Arabidopsis thaliana: one gene and its partners. The protein of the gene in region 4 interacts with the protein of the main gene of each other region in a pairwise test. Each region holds a gene or a part of one and is shown on either strand. Other genes may lie near its edges. The genes, in order: BRI1, KAT3, KAT1 and VAMP727.

Region 1 (6,687 bases), on a different chromosome or scaffold from region 4:
GCACGTGAGGCACACGTTCCTTGTGTAAGACTTGTTGTGGTGATGTTGGCGCAGTGTCTCACTGAAACATGAATGAAACCCAGACTTTGTTTTAATTTCAGGCGAAGGTCCATTTCTCCATGTTATATATCAATCTCTTATTTATTAGTAGCAAAATTGTTTAAACTTTTTAAAATCCATTGATCACCCTATCATTTTCAATATCTACATACAATCTTATGTCTCGATAAAGGTTTATCTTTATCTTATTATGCAATACATATCCCTCCCATTTCTATATTGCAAATTATGACATCAAAAAACCATTCTTTTGATTCTACTTGGGCCAATAACAAAATCAATAGTAATGGAAAAAATAACGTAGATGGATATAAATATAGTCCAACGGTTCAATTTCATCAGTAATAAGTATATAGCAAAAAAAAAAACGTTTAACTCAGCATAGTTCAAAAGGGACCACATTGGTCATGTAAATATAACATCCATAAAAACAAATTTAAGTCTCATCTATTCTCACTTTCCCATTCCCGTGCAGTGTGAATTCCCCAAATTAATTCCGACAATAATGAATTAATAGGTCACGTGCATTTACATGAACATGATCAGTCGAAATTTAATACACATTGGCTCTTTGTTTCTTCATGATTCATTATAAATTTAATTTGTTAGCAACGTAGAAATTTCCATAGAACTAAAAACGAAAACATTACAAATCCCTCCCCAAAAAACTGTATATTTACATATTCTTAACAAAGTTATTACTTAGTTCTATTCTCCACCACCCCCAATTCGACCGAGCCCGAAAAAAAAAACATCCGTCTTATGTATAAATAACATAGATACATACACTTAGCATATAGTAGAAAATACAAAAAAAATAGACCCAAGGAAAATCGGACTGACCCTTAGATGATTTTGATGTTCAAAGAATCTGCTTTGGCTCTGTTTCTAACTCTCATAATTTTCCTTCAGGAACTTCTTTTATACTCATATCAACCATCTCTATTGTACTGAACCCTCCATCCTCTATTGATCTGATCGTTGACTGTGAATCTATCCCTGACCCGGCTTGTATCTCCTTAAACATGGCCATGACTTGTACCATTGTCGGTCGTCTCCAAGCCCGATCATCCAAACACGCAACCGCAACTTTTAAATGTTGTAAAAGTTCGATCTCTAATGCTGGATCTTCCTTCATAAGCTCGGGGTCAAACACATCGCTAATCCGCAGTTTTGCGTGCTGTTTCACCCATCCAACAAGGTTGTTATCTCCAAAATCCGGTGAATCCGTTGGCCGTTTACCCGTGAGTAGCTCGAGTAAGACCACACCGTAACTATAAACGTCTCCTTTTGTTGAACACCTGAAACTTTGGTAATACTCTGGAGGAACGTAACCCGGTGTACCAGCTAATGTACTGACGCTTAAATGCGTATCCATCGCACTCATCAGCCTCGCCATGCCAAAATCTGAAACCCGAGCTTCCAAATTCTCATCAAGCAACACATTACTGGATTTCATGTCTCTGTGGATGATATGCGGACTGCAGTTGTGGTGAAGGAAAGCAAGCCCTCTAGCTGATCCTATCGCAATCTTCCGCCGTGTGGACCAGTTTAGTTTCACCCCAGCTTTCTTGGGGTCGTGCAAAACATCTTCTAAACTTCCATACTTCATAAACTCATACACAAGAAGCCGCTCGTCTCCAACTTTGCAATAACCAAGAAGAGGCACAAGATTTCGATGTTTGATCTTCCCAATGGTTTCCATCTCCGCCATGAACTCTCTATCACCTTGACCGCTAACATGAATCAGTTTCTTGATAGCCACCGCGCTTCCATCTTTCAAAATCGCTTTGTAAACATCTCCAAACCCACCAGAACCAATCAGACTATCATTATGGAAACCATTGGTAGCCTGAAGAAGATCCGCAAACGTGAGCTTCCGCAATGGCTTCTCGAAAGCAGCAAGATTGATACTCAAGGCTTCTTTCACACCAGTCAGCTTCCAATTGGTGTTGTTAGCAGTTCTATCGCCAGAGTTTCCATGTCCTTCCGCATACATCTCCAACTCCGCCTCTTTCTTTCTCCGTCTCTTCCTCATCTCTCTACCAACAAGGATCAGCCCAAATATACACACAAAAGAGAACAACAATCCCATCGCCACACTACCAGCAAGGGACGCTGGTCTCCTTCCATGAGATCTCTGATGATGAGCATAACCGTCTGCATTTGAAGGATCACACCGCGGAAGAGGATAACCACAGAGACCAGGATTGTTCAAGAACTTAGCCGGTGGAAAAGTCTCAAACTGACCCATCTCAGGAATCGGACCAGACAAATTATTATTCGACAAATCGATTTCCGTAAGCATAGTAAGAGCTGACATAGCCTGAGGAATCCTCCCATCGAGCTTATTGCTTGAAAGATCAAGAATGTTTAAACCTCTTAGATCACCTACCTCATCAGGAATCGAACCAGAGATATCGTTATGACCCAAATTGAGAATAAACAGATAAGGCATCGAACCAATCTCCTTCGGTATGTATCCAGACAACATGTTGTAAGACATGTCCAGAAACATCATCGAACCATTGTTATCAAACGTCGGCGAAGTGTGACCTCCATAGACTCTGCTAGTGATATTACAAGGGTTCCTCGTTGAAAGCCGGTTTAATTGTTCGGATCTGATTCCTTGAAACTCAAGTAAATTACCAGCTCCATGACACTCTTTCTTCATCCCATCGTTTTTGATATAAACGTACCTCTTACCGGCGATGAAATTGGCAGCGATTTTCCCGGATTGTTTAAACATCGCCGCCGGAATCGTTCCATTGAAGAGATTGGTGTTGAGATCAAGCCAGATTAAGCTTCTGCAGTCGCCGAGCTCAGCCGGAATGTTCCCGGAGAATGAATTGTTGCTTAGCTTGAGGATAGCGAGATTCTCTAACCGGCCAATCCATTTCGGAATCTCACCGGTTAACCGGTTATTCGACAGAGAAATCCAGTTAAGATTGGTACAGTTACTTAAACCGGAAGGGATTTCACCGGTTAAATCGTTGAAGTCGAGGATCAGAGTCTCTAAGGTCTTGACATACATGAGCTCCTGAGGGATCTCTCCTTCTAACATATTCAGCCATAGTTTCAGATCTCGAAGCTTCGATAGAGAGCCTAAGCTCGAAGGGATTGTCCCGGAGAGGTAATTGAAGCTCAAGTGAAGCGAAACCAGCTCAGAACAGTTGCTTAAAGTCGGTGGAATCTTCCCGGTGAAGCCATTGTTCTGAAGGTAAAGCTCCTGCAGAGTGTTTTTAGGGTTCTGGCAGAGATTTGGGAGAATCGGACCGGAGAAATTGTTGGAGCTGAGATCTAACGTTAGCAACGAAGCGGATAGATTCGTCAGAGATTCCGGTAATTCGCCGGAAAACTCGTTGAAAGACAGATCAAGTACTTTGAGTCCTCTCATCTTCAACAACGTATCCATCGGTAACTCGCCAGAGAAGTTGTTACTCGACAACGCGAGTGATTCGAGAAGAGAACATGAACCGAAGAATGGAGGAACCGCACCGTAGAAATGATTTCCAGAGAGATCGAGACCAGTGAGTGTATCACACGCGCCGGAGAGAAAGTCAGGGATCTCGCCGGTGAATTTGTTCTCGGCCAGAGAGAGGTATTGGAGACTTTTAAGCGGTAGCGGAGGGATTGGTCCGACGAATTGGTTACTAGAGATGTTCAACAACTTGAGCTCTGTGCAAGTAGAGATAGCACGGGAGAAATCGCCGGATAATTTGTTCCCGGAGATGTCAAGATGTTGCAGAGCAGAGCAATCTCCGAGGAAAGGAATCCCAGTGGAGAAATTGTTGGAGGAAACATCGAGAAACTCGAGATTCACGCAGCGAGAAACATCGACGTCTCCACTGATTTTGTTTCCGCTAATCGCTAAATGTTTCAACTCTCCACACCCATCGGAGAGAACCCAACCAACGACGTTAGCACCGGAGATTGAATTCGCAGAAAGATCCAGAACTTCCAAGCTGTTTAGCTTCAACCCACCTGAAACTTTCCCGGGAAAATCAAGTGTATTGGAAGAGACGTTAAGAAACTTCAGACCGGAGCAAGAACCAAGGCTTGTTAGAGTCGTTACAGGACCCGAAAGAGAGTTTCTAGATAGATCCAAGCTGGTTAAAGAAGCAGAGCACTTGAAGCCAGAAACGGAGCCATTGATGTGTGAGTTTGAGAGAAACAGAGACTCTAATCCGGTGAGAGACAGGAGAGACGAGGACACGGCACTGAATCCGACGTTGAGAGGCTTGGAGCTGAGATCAATCGAAGTAACTTTGTCGTCTCTGCAAGTAACGCCATCGAAAGTACACGGGTTTTTGTTGGAAGACCAGTCTGGGAGAAGATTCTTGTCAGGAAGAACGTCTTTGAAGCTTATAAGCTGATGGATTTCTCTGTATAAAGACTGAGATGGTGAAGCTTGAAATGAAAGAGAAAAGAAGGAGAAGAAGAAGAGAGTTGTTACAGAGAGAAAGAAGCTTGAAAAAGTCTTCATTTCTCAAGAGTTTGTGAGAGAGAAAAGTGTGGGAAGTAGAGAAGATGAAAGGGGGAATCTAGGGTTTTGGTTCCACCATTAGAGAGGAAGTGGAAGCTCTAGAGATAGAAAGAGAGAGATTGAGGAAAGCAGAAAGAGAGGAGAGAGAGAAGAGAGTCAAAAGACAGAAGAAGGAAGATGGAAGAAGGTATTTATCAAATGGTGAAGGGAAGAGTGGTCACAGCTGTGCACTCACATGCCATGTTACCTCTTCTTCTGATTATTATAAAAATTATATATATTAATTTCAATTTCGATAACAGATACAAACAAATAATACTACTTTTAATTATTGTATGTGGTTATAAAAAAAAAGTTAATTAATGCAAGAGGATACTAAAAATAAATAAAATAATGGCATCACAAAATCCTTAATCTCATAGTAGCTTTTGTTAAGTTTAAGTTAAAGAAATGAGGTATTTTGTCTGTACATGAGAGAGGTGTTTAATTAACGTGAGATTAGGGGATGGGATCAAGTCTTCTGCAAGCTACATATCCTACTTACCCTTTTTAAACTCTTCTTAAGACTTTATTGTAACATTTGTATACATTTTACCCCCAACCACCTATCTCTTGATTCTCTTCTCAATATTTTTAAAACACAAGTCTAATCTGATCTTCTGTTTAGTGCTGGGTTTTTTTTTATAATAAGCATATATATTCATTGATTTTTATTTTTATTAAAAAAAAAATCAAGATAATTCATGTTATATTTTTCTTCTTACTTGGTTGGATCTTGATCGGTGAATTATTGGTGTATGCACTCACTGTCACCCAATATGCAAAACTTTTGATTCTGATATAAAGATGCCAGCAACTAACTAATTCCACATTTATGGACTAATGGTTAAGTAGTGTTCAGTAAAAATGGAACATAGTATAAGCATCTAAATTTCTTTTATATTGATACTCATATACAACAAGATTTGGAGCATTCAATGTGATAGTTTGAAAGAGTTCAAATTTACTTTAATGTTAAGGTAATACATACATATTTTTACATGAATTTCACACCAACCACAAACATTTCACATTAACACTCTTCTCTTGTTCACTCTCACTTGTATCTGAAAGAAAAACTAAAAATAAAGTGGAGGAGAGATTGTCTCTATAGCTTTTTGCAAAAGAGAAACAAAAAAAAAAACGAACGTACGTGTGAGAGACGATTGGGACATGAGTGTCAATTAATGGCAGATTCCATCTCTTTTTAATAATCAGAGAAGTATTATTATTAGTTTTCGATAAACCTTTTCCCACTAATTAATCCCTCCTTTCACTTTTAAACTGCTTTCTTTTTCTCTGGCACTTACATAGACGGATAGACCAAACTTCTCTTAAAGCCTTATTCTATTATTTTTTCCTTCTGTCGCAGTTTTATAGAGATATTTCGTAATTATGTACAAACCCTACGTGCAGCTGTACCCGGTGTATACATAGTTACATAATTAACAAAAAATTCACTTTATACACATAGTTTTGGGTAACAGGAACTTGACTACTTGAGTAGTAAACTTTTCAATTAAATTCGAGATATGTTACTATCACTTTAACTTTTGTAGAGAAAATGTCGTCTGCAATGGTAACTGGTTTGAAGGTTCAACTTTCAGCGAATAATACTGCGATACCATTTTCAAATAAAGAAGGAAGATCATAGAGAATGACATTTGTGTAACTATCTATCGCAAGTGTAACACTTTTTTTGGAAGGTTTGTATAAGTACAATTGAACAGAAAAACAAACAACCTGATAGAATACTATATTGGTACAAGTAACTTTTTAAATACAAACTGAATGAAAAGTATGTTTAGTGATGTATTAATTTCGTATAATAGAACATTTTATTCTATAATGTCATCATAATCAAGCAAAACGCCAAAATAGTGTAATGATTCTAACTTCCAAAAAAGGGACGAAACTGTCCTCCCCACACTCTCATTTATAAGCGCTCGTGTGACAAATCACCCACGCTCTCTGCTCGCGCGTCAGACATACGTGAACACAAAACGGCGTTGTTTCTACATCGAGCCACCATTGCGACGTGGTCTACACGCGCTCATGGAGGTGAGTGCGATTGGTGGAGAGAGAGAGTGTGTCTATCTATC
Region 2 (6,195 bases), on a different chromosome or scaffold from region 4:
ACTTTTTTTTTTGTTGGTTGTTACCGAATATACAAATAAAAGTCTTTGATGTACAATGCAGTGTAAAATATGAAATAATTGTTATTTTCTTTTTTTTTTAACAACTACTACTACAACTTTATTAGATTGTATAAGGTTGATACAAATAAGAGAGTAAGAAACGAGGAGGAACAATAAAAGACTGATACAGAGTAGTAGTAGACAAAACATATTGAGCCATCTTATCTGCAGCACTATTTCGTTCACGATTGACGTGGAGAAGAGTGACGTTGGATAGTTTTGCCATCCAATGACGAATATCGAACAGGAGACCCCCTATTTGAGAATGATCATCACCATTATTGATAGGTCAATCTTCTCCAGTGTTCACTGCTTTTATGGTTTTTAGTTACTTTATAAGTAGCCGTTGATGCAAATGTTTTAAAGAGAATTGTTTCAGTAATAAGAGAAAATGCTAAAATGTATGCAACAATGGTACTTTTGTTGTATGCTAATGCAATCTTCAATCAAACATAATTTTAAGTTCAAGATGTCAAAAAGATAAGAAGCAAGTTCATAATAGTGGAATTGGGAATTCGATCTTCACCTTATATTTTCATATATCTGACTTTGCATCTTTTCATAAGCACCTTACGCTAACAAAAATATAGTTTTTTTTGTATCATTATTTGTGTGGGAAGTGATAATTGTGAATATATATATTTATAAACGAATTAGAAAATATATAAATGATCGTTTTCTCGAAGAGCATCAATTTGTTCAACATGTGCACCATCTGCCATTGCAATCGTGCTTCCTCGTTTCCCCAACTTCTTCTCTGCATCCACCATAGTTTTATGAGTTCAATATAAAGTATATTAAATTTTAAAAAACTTTCAATGTATAAGTAAAGAGAAGTGACATCATAAGAGTGAAACTGACCAGCTAAGTCGAATAGAAGTTGGATAGAGTCAGGTAAAATGATAAGTCTACCGTTGGAATCACCATTGTTTTTGTTATCTTGATTAGGAGGAGCTTGTCCATGAATTATCACTCTTTTTGGAACTCCCTCTCTTCTTCTCTCTTCTACTGCAATCAAATGTCATTGTTAAAAAAAGGGTCTCTATACATACAAAAAAACATGTTCATTTTACTCTGTCTTCAACAAAAAAAAATGTCTTCTTACTCTGTCCATTTTCATGTCTTGAGACCGTAACTATTTCCTCATCGTTACTTTGTGGTGTTTCCTCTGACTGAACTGTTTCCTGTCACCAAAAAATGCGTTTTCATCTCAAACTCACTTGACAATTTTGACGAGAGGACTATGCATTATTTGTTATAAGAAGGTATATATACCTGAACCTGAGCATCTGCGTCATCTAATAAATCTCTAAGAAAAGGAATTTCTTTTTTTAACTCATCATTCAATCCCTTAAGATACTGAAATTAAAGAAAGAAACATTAATTATTAGTGTTACAATATAAACACTATATTGATGTTACTACCGTTTTGTGAATGTAAACTTACTGTCATGAAATTGGCAATGATCATTTTGGCGTCGACGTCATTATCAGACTGCACCATTTCTTTGAACTTATGATGACCAATTCTGATAACTTGTGAAAGTCGACGTGTCCTCACTGTGAAAGGCTGAGGAATGTTGAACACTACTCCTATCTCTCCTGCCATACTTCCGGGACCTAACTTCGCTAATACCTTCACCATTTATCAACCAACTCTTCATACTCTATCTCAATCTTTTAAGTTTATGAAATGTGTTTTTCTTATAACTGAAATTTGTTCAGAGTTTTACCTGTTCACTCACACCCTTGGAAGCAATTATATCCTAAAATTGCAAATTTTCTTTTAATCAGTTGAAGTCAAATATAAATAAGAATGAGTAAACAATCTTTTCGGGATAAATGAATGAGTAAACAATCTTTTCGGGATAAATGAATGAGTATGTAGAGGATATATAGATATATCATACCACTCCTCCAGATACAATTACGTAGAAATCCGTTGGAATCTCATTCTGCAAGATTATCTCCATTTTCGGCGGAAAATATTCTGCTTGTATTTGCGAAACCTACAACAACAACATAGAAGAATGAATTACCACTGCCTTGTTTAACAAGGAACAAAAGAAAATGGAATTGTTGATGGACGATCACCAGCTGGACGAGGAGGCCTTCGGGGAATCCTTTAAAAAGATAAGCTTCTTCGATGATGGAGCGGAATAGATGTTGGTTAATGCTTGATCTTATGGCCTTAGGTAAGTCTTGAAGAACCTCTTCTTGCCTTAACTCCGCGGTCTTGAACTTGAGCTGCATATGTGCAAGCATCTGTTCCCTCATTGTATCCGGTAACCTGTTCTTGCTTGTGTATCGCAATATATCATTGATCGCACTCCTCTGTTCAGCAGAAGAATGATTATTGTACGACTGGTAGAGTAAATGAATGAGTAAACAATCTTTTCGGGTTTAAGCAATGAATGATTATATACCATGGCGAATGTACGAAGAGCGCCATGGACAACTAGATTGGTCATGATACCGATGATATAAGAAGTGAGGCCAATGTTGAAAAGCATGTAGAACATGTTGAATGTCTTCTCACGGCTATTAACTGCATGCAAATCACCGTAACCCACGGTAGTGAGTGTGACAATGGACCAGTACATTGAGTAAGTGTACCCTAACCATACACTTCTTTCCTTAAAATCCTCAACTTGCGATCCTATCCATGTATCCGTAGGCCTTGGATAATGGTAGGCTATCCAGTATAAAATGCAACCCGCCAAATGTATCCAAAATATCGTTACCTGAATCAAATTTCACAATTTGAATAAAAGTCATAGATTGACATAGCCAATTTAGTGATTGTATGGACCACATATAGATAATTCAATATAAGTAAAACTTACACATAGAAGTTTGATGACTCGGATCACGAAATAGTTGAAATGTGCGTCTTTCTCTAGTCTGTTAAAAAAAGAAAGAAAGGAAGTGTAAAATAGACACACACATATGTACTATATGATAAGTGGATTTCAATATTGCATATTATATAGAAAGTAGTAAAGAAAAAACCTTTTAAAGAGTTCGGCTACACGACGGAGACGCCAGAGGCGGAGTAAATTAAGGAAGCCGAAAGCTTGGCCTCGTCCGACATCTCCGGTAATAGTTTTATAAATGAATTGAATGGGTAACGTTGATGCTACGTCCATCACAAAAGCCACGCTCTTCAAGTACCTATAATAATGCACAACATATATAATTCAATTCTAACTTATTCATTTTACTTATGTTATTTTTTTAACATATAAAAACAAATTGATTTGTTACCGTTTGGCGATGAGCTTGTGGTCGGTGACATTGAGGTAAGTAGTATTATCCAAGTAGGAAACAAAAAAGGTGAGGATGATATCAACGGCGAAGAAGAAGTCAACGACGAGATCAATGGTCAATAACGCTCCTTCGGCAGCTTTCTCGAAAGCCAACTCGAACAAAGATGCCCACGCCGAATACCCAACCAATATCACCAAAAACAATTCCCACAACCTACCATTAATTTTTATATGGAAAGATTAAAAAAAAATTAAGATATATGAATATTAATAAGAAATAACAATTTTAAGACGTAAAAATATGAAAATTAATGAACGAATCATTTGATCATTAATTTATGGACTAATAGAAACAGAAAAGTTATGAAATCTGTAAATCACTATTTATTGTTTGATAACCAAAAAACATTTCTTCGTTGTTTAGTTAGTGAGAAATGAACCTGTAACGACGATCAAAGTGAAGAACGATGAAAGGTTTGGAAGAAGGATTATCATCTTCGATGAAAGTCCCAAAAGCAGGCAAGAGACTGCTCGAAACTGACGTTATGTTCCTCACATCTTTGCTCGATCTTCTTCTGAACTGCAGTATCGATAACGGCGATCTTGCTTCCGCCGTCGACGCCGATAACGCCGTCGAAGACCTTCCTCTTCTCAACAACAACGGCAACGGTGATCTCGCCTCAGTAGTCGTCGTAGACATTCTTTTTTCCTTCTTCTTCTTCTCTCTCTTCTTCAAGCTTGATGATATATACTTCCCTCTTTTGTCTCTTTCATTTATACCTTTTTTTTTTAGTTTTGAATTATTAAAGAGGTGTTTAGATGATCAAGAAGGTGGTGAGCAAATTAAGTTGACTTTTTTTTTTACTGGTTTTTGTTTTCCCTATATTTTTTGGAAAAAAAGAATATAACAATACTATAAAACAAATTTACTTAACCATCTAATAAATTATAATTTTTCAAGATTGTAGTATGATGAATTTTACTCTTTATATATTCAACTTTGTTGTTATATATGCAGAAGGCTTCATCGACTTTTTTGACTCTTATTTACGTCTCTGTGTGTATTTAATGTGGCATCAGGTGTAGTGATTACAATCGAGATCTACAATATCAGGGGGATAAGGTTTTTTTTTTTTTTTTTCTTACGATAAATTATGTAATAATTAGCTGTTTAAATACTGGAGTTGAAAAAATTGAGGAACTCAAAAGTCAAATCTTGACGTCTTTTTTGTTGTTGTTATTAAATGAGACCGTGACAGGAATAGTAGTGTTGAAAACAAAACGAACAATAATAAACAAATGAATTACGTATCAATATCTATCATCAGTCAGAATTTAGTATGTTTTTAATACAATCATTTCAGTTTTTTTGAGATAACATATCATATATATATACTTCTTTCCACTTTCCAGTGTTGGATGTGCATGTTTACAATTTTTTTAAAAAATTCTAAGGAAAACAATGTTTTGAAATTCTAAGATACGTTTAGGTAATACATGAAGGGGGATACACTTTGTCTTCGTCCCTTAATTAGCTCCTATGAAGAATTTCACATACACAAATTAAGAAGATGCATGCAATAACAAGGCTAAAGCCATTTCTTAATAGTTCATTTGTACATAAAGTAAGTTTGTGTATGTTAAAAAAAAATTGTGTATGTACTGATGTACAGTATGTTGTTGATTGTTGATACGTAAAACCAAATAGTCAAATACTATACATTTTTACGTTTGCTCGTATAAATTAGGAAACGAAAGCATAATTGTTACGGATAAAAAAACACGAAAATCAATTAATGAAACAAAACCCTTTTGTAAAAAAGCCCATTTTTATGGAAGCCCATTTTGAGATGGACCAGTTAATGAAAAAAAATCCAAGAAACAATGAAACGAACGTTTAAGATCCATGATGGAAATTTGGGCCAAGATTATAAGAAGATCTCACCACATTTCATTTGGGCCGGGTGGGCGAAACATTCCGGGTGATCGTGTAGACCCAATTTTTTCGGTGGAAAGTGCAAAAAAAATGCAATTGGTGGATGTCGTCGCGGTTCGACCCCAAGGGATTTGGCCGGTAAAATTATTGGGAGTTGTCTTTCTCTTGCACTCTCTCTAGTTCCAAACCCTAGCAATTCCTCTGTTTTCACCATTTTCGGAGATTATCACCTTCTCCCCGATTCGCCGCCTTGTGATTACATCTACGTAAAGAGTTTCTGGTAGAAATTTTCCCTCTTTTAGCTGCAGATTGGCATCAGATTCCGTTCTGGATGTGTCGGTGATCGATTTTCCGCGTCGGTGATGATAGCTAACGGATTCGAGAGTATGGATAAAGAACGAGTCAGGAAACGTCCTCGTATGACCTGGGACGAGGCCCCAGCTGAACCAGAGGTTGCTCCTCTTTCTTCTTCTTCTTTTTTTAATTAATCTTTGACATTTAGAACTTCGAATTAGGGTTTAGAATGTGGAGGAAAGACCGAGCATTTATGTTTCTTTGGTGAGATTTTGATATGCTGACAATGAATGAATTTTGACTTTTTTGTGATAGGCTAAAAGGGCTGTGATTAAAGGACATGGAAGCGATGGGAGGATTTTGTCACCACCATTAAGGGACGATGATCGTGATGGTCATTATGTTTTCAGTTTGAGGGACAATCTCACTCCTAGATGTGAGTTTTTGATGGATAAAGTTGCTAACTTTCTATTCTATGTGAGCTAAGATATTTACCTATGTTGCTTCTATATGTGTATTGTTGCTAGTAACTCTTTGTTTTGTTTGGCACCATTGCCTTAGGGATAATCTTTTTTCGCTTTCGTTTCATTGGGATGAGAATCCTTCCTGAACATTTTTAATTGCTTAACTTACGCT
Region 3 (6,158 bases), on a different chromosome or scaffold from region 4:
TGATTTCGTTTCTTGAGACGACATTTCGATGAGATTTGTGGTGGTGACTTTTTGGGGACTTTTTGCTGGATTTATATAGAGGTGTGAGTTTTGGAATTGAATGACGAAATTGGGTCTGTGGAAGAGGAAGGAGAATAGTATTAGAGAGGGTAACATGGAAATTTCGTATAAAATGAGGTGGGACGCATGCAGTTCATGTTCGTGGAATAATTTATTTTATTCGTTGATTGAATATAAAATACATTCGAGAATTTCTTATTTTGATTTTTTTTTATTACAAACATGTTGAAGTGTTTAAATTTAAAATAAATCAAACTGAATATACGCTTAATTTTCTGAAAAAAAAATTTCGTCTTTTTAATAGGTAAATTTCTTAAAATCTTTATTGATAATAGAGAAAAATAAAATTTTCTTGATTTATCATGTGAAACAAGTTCAAAGCAGAAGACTCGTGTAGAATAATGTTTTGTGTTCAAACAGAACGGTATCAATGTATCATAGTCAAGCTGTGAAATAAGATTGTGTTTTTGTGTCAATTAATGTCAGTTTTGTATACTCTGCTTTTGATAATCTAGACTTTTCTATGAAACCGGGTAAAAATACATTATCTGCAGATATACATGCTCTATAAATGAAGTCGAGTTTTCAAACTCAATTTGATGAAAAATACAAATGATCACCATCCCAAATGACATCTAAATCATCAATCTCAGCGTTGTCCGCATTGGTGATCTTTGTGAAGTTGCAGCCTCCAAACTTCTCACTTGCAAGTCTTAGAAGCTCTTCTATGGATGATGGTAAGAGTATCAACTTCCCGTTCTTGCTCTCAGACATCATGTGGATGGTAACTCTCTTTTCTTCTCGTTTGCATGGCTTGATGATTTGGTTGCTTGAGCTGCAATATGGATCTTTTTTCGATGAATCGTTAGCGTAACTTCTTCCAGCGGTTTCACTACTTGATCTTTCCACTTTGGCTCTCTCTATCTTTTGTTCCTTAAGTATCTTCTTAACCATTTCAGTATCTTCCTTGTGAATCGCATCCATTAGAGCAGTGTCGGAAGTCGGATTCGTAACATCTAAACCATAGCCATCTTTTCTTGAATCTCTCCACTCTTCCCATCCCATGCTTTTGAAATCTCTGTTTTCGTGACCACTAGTATTCGAATCATCTATTGCTATTGACTGTTGCCCTCTAAGTTTCTGAAAGTTTTATAGCCAAAAATGAGTTTAGAGTTTGTTTTAACTATAGAAACATTTCTATAATAACTCACATACCATGAAGAGATTGTTCATGATGACTCGTCCATCGTCAGCATGAGCATGCATCGCACTCATCAGCGATGTTCTGCTTATCCGCAGTATTTGAGATAGCTCGGTTGTTCTTACTGTGAATGGTTGTGGTCTATAGTATAAAACTCCAACCTCTCCAAATGTTTCTCCAATTACTGCTTTCCCTTGAAACTGATCATGTCCATCAACGTAGACAGTGAAGTCCTGTACAATACACAATGTTACAAGATTCCTAACTGTTATTCACATATTTACATATAACCGATATATTTCACTCACCACTGCTCCTGACACCAGAATGTAAAGATCAGTAGGAGCTTCGTTTTGTAGAATTATATCTTCTTTTGGTGGGAAATACTCAGCGTCTATATCTGAAACCTTGAACATGAAAAGGTACATGGAGTTGGTCACCTCTTACATATTAAACGTTAAGAAAAAAGGTTAGAGAATACAATTTTACCAATTGAAAGAGGAAGTTACGAGAAACTCCTTGAAAGAGGTAAATGTTGTGAACAATGGGGAAGAATAAATAGTTTGCAATGCTTGACCGGATTGCTTTTGGCAGATTGTTCAAGGTCTCTTGTTGTTTCAAGCCCTCTGTTTTGAACTTTAAGCAAATGTGTGATAACATTTGATCTTGTATGTCATGTGGGAGTTGATTTCTTGAAGCAAACTCTGAAGCAGCTCTCACTGAATCCCTCTGTTTAACACAAAGCAATAAAGCATTACAGATTAGTAATACTCAATATTATTTTAGTCAACTTAAAATACTCAAAAGTACGTAAACCCCACGCTATTACCCGAACCTTTATCCGAAATGAACATGCCTAGACTAAAAGAAAGTGATCAAACTTACAAAGGTTCTGGTTCGGCTAGTCCAATGAACGACGAGGTTGGTCATATTTCCAATGAGGTAAGCTGTCAAACCGAGGTTGAACATCATGAAGAAAATGTCAAAAAGCATTTCTCTTGGGTTCTCAGCATGAAAATCTCCATATCCCGTGGTCGTTAATGTCGTAATGGACCAGTAAAGAGCAGTCACATATCTATTCCATAGACTTGCTTCTTTGAAATTTGGATACACAGCTCCAATCCATGTCTTTCTTGGATTAGGATATCTATCTGCAATCAGGTAGTTGAAACATCCAGCACAATGTATAGCGAACAAAGTGACCTGAGATCAACAAGCACGTGTAAGTCACTAGCTTTAATATGGTGTCCATTTAAAAGACAAATAAACCCTAAGAATAGATCACCTAAATGGACAGCCCTAAGCTTAAAATGCTTTATTATAAGTGAGATTAGTTTTGCTCTGTTTTGGAACTAACCGAAATGAGTTTTGTGCAACGTATCCAGAAATAGTTGAAACGGATATCTTTCTCAAGCCTGAAGCAAAGGTAAGAGTTAGTTAGACTTGAGTAAGCACTTTCTTAGTTAAACCCTAAGAAGAGTATGGTCTCTTAGTTAGCATAGAAGCAAACCTTGCAAATAGCGAGCTAACTCGCCGGAGACGCCATAACCTGAGCATGCTAAGAATTCTGAATCCTAGTTCGCTTCCGTTGTAGTTAAACAAGAGGCTTAGTGGCTGAAATGGTGCTGTGGAACAAACATCGAAAGCGAACCACGTCGAAAGGTACCTGAAAATGTTACAATTTCAAAACATACTTTGAGATTCTCATTCACTTATAAAAGGTTTCAAGTTAAGAAAAAAGGTTTCTCACCTTATTGCTATTTTCTTAGGACTGTCAACTAGAAGATAGGAGTGGCTATCGAGATAAGCGACGAAGAAGGTGAGAATAATATCAATGGCGAAGAAGCCATTAACAATGTTGTCGATGATGAAAATCGCGTCTTTTTTATAGGTGATGAAAGCAAATTGAAATGGGCAAATCCAAGCTGAGTAAATAACTAGTAATACTAGCCACATCTCCCACGCTCTGTTTCAACAAACAGAGGATTGAAAACAGAGTCTTTAAATATACTTATAACGTGAGTAAAAACAGAGTAGTTAAAACTACTTATAACCTGAATAGTTGAAAACATAGTTGAAAACAGAGTACTTAAAACAGAGTTTAGTAGATGAGAAAATTACCTGTAACGTGGATTAAAAGGAGAGATTATGTGTTTGCGGAGCTTAGTAGATTGGTTGATCCTGGCTCCAAGAGATGGTAGAAGATCGGCAGAGAGGAAACTACTCTGTTTTATGGTGTCTATATTGTATTCCTCGACGCAGAATCTTTCGAAGAAATTTCGAGTCCAAGAGATCGACATCTTTTTGATGATCTCTAAAGACAAAGAAACTGTTATACCTTTTTAGGCTTTCTTCTTGGCAAGGTAGTTATAAATAGTGATGAAGCTTGTGACAAAGCAACACGGGGAAACTTCTCTTTTCTTCTTCTGTTGGGACCTTTATGGCAACTTGTTGTGACCCATTTGTTATCTTTTTTTCTTTTTGGTTGAGAATTTGGCAGGGAAAGGTTAACGGCTTTAAGAAGACTCAGTGCACCATTAATGCTGCAAAACCAATATGGTTTCGATTCGAGAAGCAACAATGGTGAAGAAAAGGCGTAAAATGCGGAACGGAGTAAGTGTGAGATGATCAAAAATCTTGAGAGATGAGACAGAATTTAAGTGGCAAACATTGAGCTTTTGCGGTAGATATCATCATATTTTGTTTCTTTTTTGACACGAAAATATAAGATTCGAAAGAGGAGGAAGAAGAAGAGGAAACGCAATCTGTTTCTTTGGAGGTTTCTACTTGATGAGATTCATGACTATCAGACTATGGTGTGATGTCCACTTTCCTAGCATTTGAAGGTGGGAGTGATATATAGACATAGAGACACATATAAAGGAAGGAAGGTACGTTTGGTGTTTGGTAAGTGTTAATGGGAGGACAAAAATGGGCATGAAAATTATGGTGTGTTCATTTCAGGAATCCAGAAATGGACCAAGCAAAATAAAGAAAATAAAATGGCATTTGACAGAATATGTAAGGGGCCAGAGTATATTTTTTTTTCTTTCTTCGAAAAAAGTTTTATTTTCTCATCAACTATTCTTAAAGTATATGTCTCTATTTTATTTTCTAGTCCCCAAAACCAATCATAAGTTTATTGTACTCATTGCAAAAAAAAAAAAAAAAAAGTTATTGTTCTCATTTTGGATTGAGTTTTACTAAATAGCCATAAACTTGGAAGATTATTTCCAAAACACTCATATAGAAAATATAGTAGTCCATTTAATCTTTTTGCATGGGAAGTGAAACTCTAAGATTATTTTACCGAAACAGCTTATATAATGTATTATTATTATAGAAGCTACGTGAACTCTCCACGTGGATAAACCGAATCTAGGTAGCGAATGAGGCTCTCTAAACAGTGAAGTCCCAAACTCTCTTCTCACTCGGACACACTCGCTGGCTCGCAAGCAATATGTCTTTGTTGTGTTTTGACTTTGGTTTATACTTAGTACTTAGGAGAAGACACACCAATAGGAGATCTTCACGTGGTGGGTTTTTTCATGTGTGTACACTTGATTTCTTGTCCGTCCCATACTTCTCATTCCCGTCGGTATGGTGGCCCCTCCCTTCTCCTTCATGTTCTGATTCCATTTACTAATTTCTTATAAACCCTTTCTAGATATATGTATGTTTTCATTTCTCTAGTGTGCTAGACTCTTTATATCTTAATCTCACTAATAAAGGAAAAATACGTAATTTATAAATTTTAACAAAATAATAAACTTGATTTCTAAATTCTTAATTAAGAATTTAAAAATGACATCTTACTCATAGGAGGAAATATATGAAATGATAAATCCCATAAACTGTGAAAGAACAAATCTAGAGTTTAAAACACAACATGATAAAATATATATAACATGGCTATAAATATTTTTAACAAAAAGGTGATAAATTATAGATGAATTGTACATTGACTACATTCTGTGCAAATGAACATGTGCTAACCTTTTCTAATGCGGTTATAATTGACATGGGAAAACAAAAGAAAAGAAAAAAGAATCAGGAATTTTTTCTACAATAGGAACGAGAAATGAGAGAAAACAAATTGAAACAACTAAGAATAAAGTTATGAAAAATCATGGTTTATAATAAAACACATTTGTATACGAATATTGATTTTTTGGTAATCCTAAATATTTGACTAAACTTTTGTTTTCGTTCGCTAGTATAGAATGCCAAGTATAAATTCTTCAAACCTTTCCGCCAAATTTGTATTATTAAATCATTCCAAAGCTTTTTGTTTCTGCGTCGATCTGAGCCCGTTCGAATGTATCTTTCATGATTCCTTGTTGATATTTTGTTTATTGTCTTCCTGAATCCTAATATCATTATAGAAACAAAACAAAACAAAATAAAGTAAATGAGAGATTCCTAATATAAACATAACATGAGCTAACTTTAATATTATTTTCTCGTGATTAATTAGTTTTGCCAATAAAAGTTTTATATTAGGTTTTATGATCTAACTTACTTTTTAAAAGATGATTATAACTATTGAAAAATGAATTATTTCGGCTTTCAAATTTTAGTATTTTGTGATTTTTTTTTTGTTTTTTAATTTCGGTTATTCATATATTTCAAATCAAAAGGAATTACTGGGTTACTAAACCTTGCCTTAAAAGACCAGAAATCGTAAACTGCTTTAAGTTTGCTATTTGCTGTCTTCCTAGTGCAAGTGGGGTTGTTCATGTTAACTGTTTAAATTTAAGTTTAAGCTGTCACATGCATGCTAAGAGTAGTGTAGGGTCTAAAAATTTGTTAGTTATTTTTGTTGTTGTGGGCCATCATAAGTCTTGGAATCGGTTGGTCTAAACCTGTTTTATACCTTCTTCAAACTACATTGGAG
Region 4 (5,198 bases):
ATAAATTCTCACCATCCTCAGTCATAGTAAAAACGAAGCCAACCATATATGCTTATTCATATCTCCCTTTATATCTGTAGACAATAGACAGAGAAGTTGATGTGGGGATAATTGAAAAGGTACGAAATATCCCTTTATGAAATTATTTCATATCCGCTTTATCAAACGAGAAACGGTGTAAAAAAACAACTAGCAGACATTACTTTGTTACCTTTTTTGTTCCTCCCATGTGATTTGCCCTACTTAACCTCACCTTTACGCTTCACCTTTTGCTCTTTGCTTCATCAGCCACAGAGTTTAAAAGCCGTAACATTCTATTTCGCTTTTGGGTCATCATTGTTTGCTTCTTCTTTTTTTCTCTGTAAAAACTTTATACAGTACCTACAATTTTCTTGTTCTTTTTTCTTAATATCAGTCGAAGCCTAAATGACATAACCGCATACACTACACACATGTATCTTGGAGATCACCATAAAGAAAATTGCTGATCGCATAGAATAGAACAGACACGGCAACTTGAGAACAAAAACATTTTTTTTATATATATAGCATCACAGCATGTGGGAGATGATGATGATATGATGATATGTTATTATAAGTTCTTCCATGTACAAACATGAGCATGCAATTTAAGTGTTAAAACAGATACAAACGAAGCGAAACATCATGATGAGCATTTGAAACCTCCACAAGCAACAACCCAAACGATGAGAATAAAAGAGAAAACAGCACCAGCCACCATCAGCTTCATCTGCAGACTCTGTAGCCACATCTTCCTTCTTAACTGCCTTCCTTGTCTCTGGAAGCTATCTGCCTGGAACTGTAGGTTCTCGGTTTTGTCAACCAGAAGTTCGATCTTCTCTCCTCTGTCCAGAACCTGTTAAAATAACATCAAAGATAATCATCAAAAAGGCTGCAAATCCTCTCCGTTTCATTCTCATAATCAACATCTATTGGCATAAGCTAGTTCAGTGAAAATGGGACAAACCCCATCTTCTATTGGAGATGATAGTGCGACAAATTCTGAAGTTACTCTGGTTGCCTAACCTTTTACAGCACCAAAAAACTAGATTTTGTTGAAAATTACTTGCAGTTACTTTTTATAACATTATTGACCTCAAACTTAAGGCAAATAGAAACATAGTCCACAGAGCAAAAGCGACAGATGATATATCGTGACTTGGAACAGCACTATAGCACAACCAACTCCTTCCTATGATGAGAAGCAGGGAGTTCATGCTATAATTATCCCATTTAGACTTCCTCAGTACTAAATTTTAACAGAGGCGTGTATGAAATCAAGCCGGTTAAAAGGCAGAACAGGGGTCTGGAAATCTAATTCAAGCTGCGTGCAACTTCTTAGTTTCTATCAGACTTAGATACTAAAGTCCATTCTGTCACAGTTTTAAAAGTTGACAAAGGTCTGGAAAGAAAACACAGTAATTCACAAACAATATAATTATACCAGATATAGGTTAATGAAAGAATGGTTGTGAGAAAAGCAATTGATACATTTATCCAGTAAAACTACCATGGAAGTAAACCTATTTATTTGGTGTCAAATATCTCTTCTAGAAAGTATTTGTTGTTCAGCATCTTTCCTACAGTACTTTTTTGTAATTGCAAAATCATGTGGATAAAAATGTTGTCACCTTAAACCAAAAAAGTACAAGATCTGCGTGCTACTGTTAATTAAAATGTCTAAGCTAGTTCATCTTTTCTTATAACGACAAAAGCATACCTTCTCAATGTTGTCCATCATGATCCCCTTGACCTCAGTTATTTGGGCCTTCAACTTAGAAAGTTTGCTCATCTCTTCTGGATGGCTCATACAATACTGCATATGCTCCTTTAGTATGGGCCTATTAGAGGGGAAAGAAAAGAATCAGAACACAGTTGCAATGCGAAACAATGAAGTGATATCAGATAGTTACAGCTATAGACAGACCCGAACTCCCTGTCAAGATTGTATGCAACGCTAAACCGATCTCCAAACAAATCATCATCTTCGTCCTCATCCGCAAGAGGATGTCGCTCATCATTCTTTATACTCGCTTCATACCGCTTCTTAAAGTCTTCCTTGACCCGTTCGAGAAACACGAAAGGAACACTTCTTCCGGTGGACTCATCAGCAACCACTAGAAACACTATACACGCAACAATCACAAAGCATCACCAAATCCGAAGTAAATTAAAAAAGCTTTCAACTTATCAACAAGTAGAAAAAGGCTAAGAAAGAAAACTCACCAAAGCCATTGTCAACAAGGAAATTGAAAGTATGACCATCGCAAGAGTAAGTATACTTGCTGCTATTTGTGGGTAGCTTCTGCAGACATTGAACAGCAATGGTGCTAAAGTTTCCTGAATAAGGAGTATGCTCTGCTAGAACAACTGTTCCTTTAGCAACAAAGCTATATATCAAACCCTTTTGACTCATTATTGTACTCGTGAAACCTTTGAAGAAGAAGTCAACCACAACCACAATCAGATCTGGAATGCAAAACCAAATATGGAATCATAATCCAGAAATATATATATGGAAAACTATAGATCACTGTAGAAATCAGATAAAACCCTAAAACACCAAGAGGAGGATAACAGTAAATCGCAAAATCGGGAGATAAAATCACTAATCGTATAGAATCGCGATTTATAATTGAGAAGAATTACACCGAAGCGCAACAATTATAAATCGGAAAACGTGTTCTTATGCTCCGATTAGGTTGAAAATCGACGCAATTAAAAGATCGGTGCTATTTACTTCCGGAAGAAAAGTATAGAGATATGATCGGAGAAGACGAAATTGAAGGAGGAATCAAACGACGCATAGCAGTAGCAGTAGCAGAAGAAACAAAAGCGAGAGAGGAATGAGTACCTTGAGACTTAGCTTGGTGATGAAGGATTAGGCTCAAATTCTCAGGAATCTGGTAATATCAGACGACGACGAGTCACGACTAGTTTTAGCTTTTTAGGCTTTTAGCAGGAGATGATATGACATAACTTAATGCTGATTAATTCTTTAATCACCAAATGGTTTGGTTTGATTGTTTCCGGTTTCGGTTCTCGGTTTATGAAAGTTAGCTATTGAAATCGGAAACCCATTCTATTTCGCCTTGGTTTGATACTTTGATTTGGATATTACCGGTTCTTTATTATTTTTTCGGGTTAGAATTGAAATGACCGTAACTGTGTTCGGTATGGTTCCTTTGTGATGGGTAAATTAATCATCAGTCATAAATTCTGAATTTGTTAAATTTACAGATCACACCTGAAAACTGATGAAAACGTACACGCAAACAAAGTTGATTATCTAAACGATAATCAAATACTTTTTCCAATCCAAAAGATAAAAGATAATGTGAATATTGCAACAAAATTAGATGAGCCAAAATATGAAAAAAGCAGCAAAGTTTGGAGTAAGTGACACAAACTGGAAACACACCAGAAACAAAGTGACTAACACTAAACTTCTTTCAAAAAGTATTCCCAAACCGCTTTCAGACAATCTTTCAGCATGTCTGAAACACATTTCCTCTCCACATCTTCCTCCTGAAATTGTAAACATAACTATTGTCACTTGTTGACTATCACTACAATTAAAAGACCATGTCTAAACAAAAAATACCTTTAGTAGTATAGTACTTAATGCTTTTAGTTTGAAATTCACTTCACTTGAGGTTCCTCCAACTCCAGTTCTGAAATCATATCGATCAGCCTCTCGGATTTGAAGCCTCATAGTCTGGTTTATGTACGTAGTAGTTACAGTATGCCAAACACCACAAACAATGTATCGATCCGCACAAGAAGATTTCCCAAGTGGCCACTTTAACCCACCTTTCACAGTTGGATCTACCACCGCTGAATCAGTCAATTCTTTAAGATTCGTAATCTCATTCTCCTGGATACAATCGAAGAACCATGTTTCACATTTTAATCTACACCACTTGCTAATATTCTTCAACTCATTCTCTTGGATACTAAATATGGATTAGACAAAGTCAACTCACAGAGAGATTGGTTAATGTCCTTTTTGAGTCAACCATCAACCTCATGTCAAGATCTTGATCAAGGCATGAGACGTCAAGATTTAAGTGCCTCAAAGCATTAAGCTCAGCCTGAATAAAAACCAAACAAAAGCTTCAATATGATTCACTTAAAATGTGGTAAGTAGGGGAGATGAAAAGGACTTATCTTATAGAAATTGAGTCGTTTATTTTGTTGGTCCACCATACATTTACATGAAATGGTTACATCAGGACGAGTGTTGTCTGAGACCTAGAAAATCAGAAACCAAAACCACAAAAGAATTAAAATGAAATTACAGACACAATCATGAATCTCTAACATAAGAAATAACAAAACCACCTTCACGTGATACAACTCTTTGGTTTCTTCAACACAAAATCCCATTTTGTGTACAGCTCTATACCCAACATTTTCGACATAAGACTTTGGGACATTTGTACGAAACATTTTCTTCAATTTCTCCAAAGTGCTTTTAGTTAACGGACCATCTCTTAGAGTTCCTGATGAACTAACACTGCATCAATTTGATAAGATAACAATCGGTAAACTTGTTTATTCAACATAAAAAAGACTTGATTAGCGAGAAATGCGCAATCCAACTATAGTTTCTAAGTTGTCTAGATAGTAGATAACCGACTCAACTATAGTGTCCAAGTTGTCAACACAGTTTCAATCCACTACAAACCACCTACGGTAATTACAATGCTCTTAAACCAACACTAGGCTAATCACTAACCCTGCCCCAGGTAAAACAGAGTTTGTGTGTGTCCCTAAAAACTGAAAATTTGAGGAGAAGTCAAAAACCTTACTCATGGAAAACAACATTACCAAACCGAGCGATCAGTCTGAGTTTGACATCCTCTGATCCACCATAACCTAGCAACGTCTTCTTTGCCCTATCAAATCCCATTATAATGTCATCCTCCACTTTCTCTGTCACCCATAACCATGGATTTTCCAGTTTTCCCAAATCACTCTTCGCTAAGATTACCAAAGATTTTTCTTCTGCGTCTTTCCTCCACTCTGAAGAACCGGGCACAAGTTGAAAGTTGCTATCCTCTGGATCCGAACCAACGAGAAACCATCTAGAAATGTAACCGTTTGCGTAGATTATCTTTGTATTAGTACTCCCGACGTTTTTATTGTGTTTTTTAAGAAGAGAAGGTGGAACA

Evidence for each region.
Region 1: the proteins of VAMP727 (region 4) and BRI1 interact in a protein complementation assay, tested with the Arabidopsis thaliana proteins (one study listed by BioGRID).
Region 2: the proteins of VAMP727 (region 4) and KAT3 interact in a two-hybrid assay, tested with the Arabidopsis thaliana proteins (one study listed by BioGRID).
Region 3: the proteins of VAMP727 (region 4) and KAT1 interact in a two-hybrid assay, tested with the Arabidopsis thaliana proteins (one study listed by BioGRID).

The regions. Positions count from the first base shown.
Region 1 is NC_003075.7:18,322,685-18,329,371, reverse strand, and holds BRI1 (Leucine-rich receptor-like protein kinase family protein), read right to left. Parts: upstream 4,916-6,687; 5' UTR 4,547-4,915; coding exon 956-4,546; 3' UTR 541-955; downstream 1-540. Other genes in the region: PLS (polari), read left to right, coding at 73-183. UniProt on the Arabidopsis thaliana protein: Receptor with a dual specificity kinase activity acting on both serine/threonine- and tyrosine-containing substrates.
Region 2 is NC_003075.7:15,750,769-15,756,963, forward strand, and holds KAT3 (potassium channel protein), read right to left. Parts: upstream 4,280-6,195; 5' UTR 4,030-4,279; coding exon 3,770-4,029; intron 3,544-3,769; coding exon 3,328-3,543; intron 3,235-3,327; coding exon 3,073-3,234; intron 2,965-3,072; coding exon 2,907-2,964; intron 2,805-2,906; coding exon 2,487-2,804; intron 2,395-2,486; coding exon 2,155-2,394; intron 2,070-2,154; coding exon 1,971-2,069; intron 1,827-1,970; coding exon 1,794-1,826; intron 1,697-1,793; coding exon 1,508-1,696; intron 1,420-1,507; coding exon 1,336-1,419; intron 1,245-1,335; coding exon 1,166-1,244; intron 1,069-1,165; coding exon 922-1,068; intron 818-921; coding exon 714-817; 3' UTR 503-713; downstream 1-502. Other genes in the region: AME3 (Protein kinase superfamily protein), read left to right, coding at 5,628-5,717, 5,875-5,995. UniProt on the Arabidopsis thaliana protein: Probable modulatory (alpha) subunit of inward-rectifying potassium channels. Could mediate potassium uptake from the soil solution by plant roots in association with AKT1.
Region 3 is NC_003076.8:18,743,001-18,749,158, forward strand, and holds KAT1 (1), read right to left. Parts: upstream 4,407-6,158; 5' UTR 3,562-4,406; coding exon 3,383-3,561; intron 3,228-3,382; coding exon 3,012-3,227; intron 2,928-3,011; coding exon 2,772-2,927; intron 2,677-2,771; coding exon 2,619-2,676; intron 2,465-2,618; coding exon 2,147-2,464; intron 1,991-2,146; coding exon 1,751-1,990; intron 1,669-1,750; coding exon 1,570-1,668; intron 1,495-1,569; coding exon 1,276-1,494; intron 1,201-1,275; coding exon 652-1,200; 3' UTR 510-651; downstream 1-509. Other genes in the region: AT5G46230 (hypothetical protein (Protein of unknown function, DUF538)), read right to left, coding at 1-24. UniProt on the Arabidopsis thaliana protein: Highly selective inward-rectifying potassium channel. This voltage-gated channel could mediate long-term potassium influx into guard cells leading to stomatal opening.
Region 4 is NC_003074.8:20,107,691-20,112,888, forward strand, and holds VAMP727 (vesicle-associated membrane protein 727), read right to left. Parts: upstream 3,194-5,198; 5' UTR 2,876-3,193; exon of another isoform or gene 2,671-2,875; intron 2,491-2,670; 5' UTR 2,438-2,490; coding exon 2,248-2,437; intron 2,148-2,247; coding exon 1,949-2,147; intron 1,863-1,948; coding exon 1,742-1,862; intron 878-1,741; coding exon 665-877; 3' UTR 517-664; downstream 1-516. Other genes in the region: AT3G54310 (DNA-directed RNA polymerase subunit alpha), read right to left, coding at 3,463-3,549, 3,626-3,898, 4,008-4,115, 4,228-4,275, 4,366-4,526, 4,855-5,198. UniProt on the Arabidopsis thaliana protein: Involved in the targeting and/or fusion of transport vesicles to their target membrane.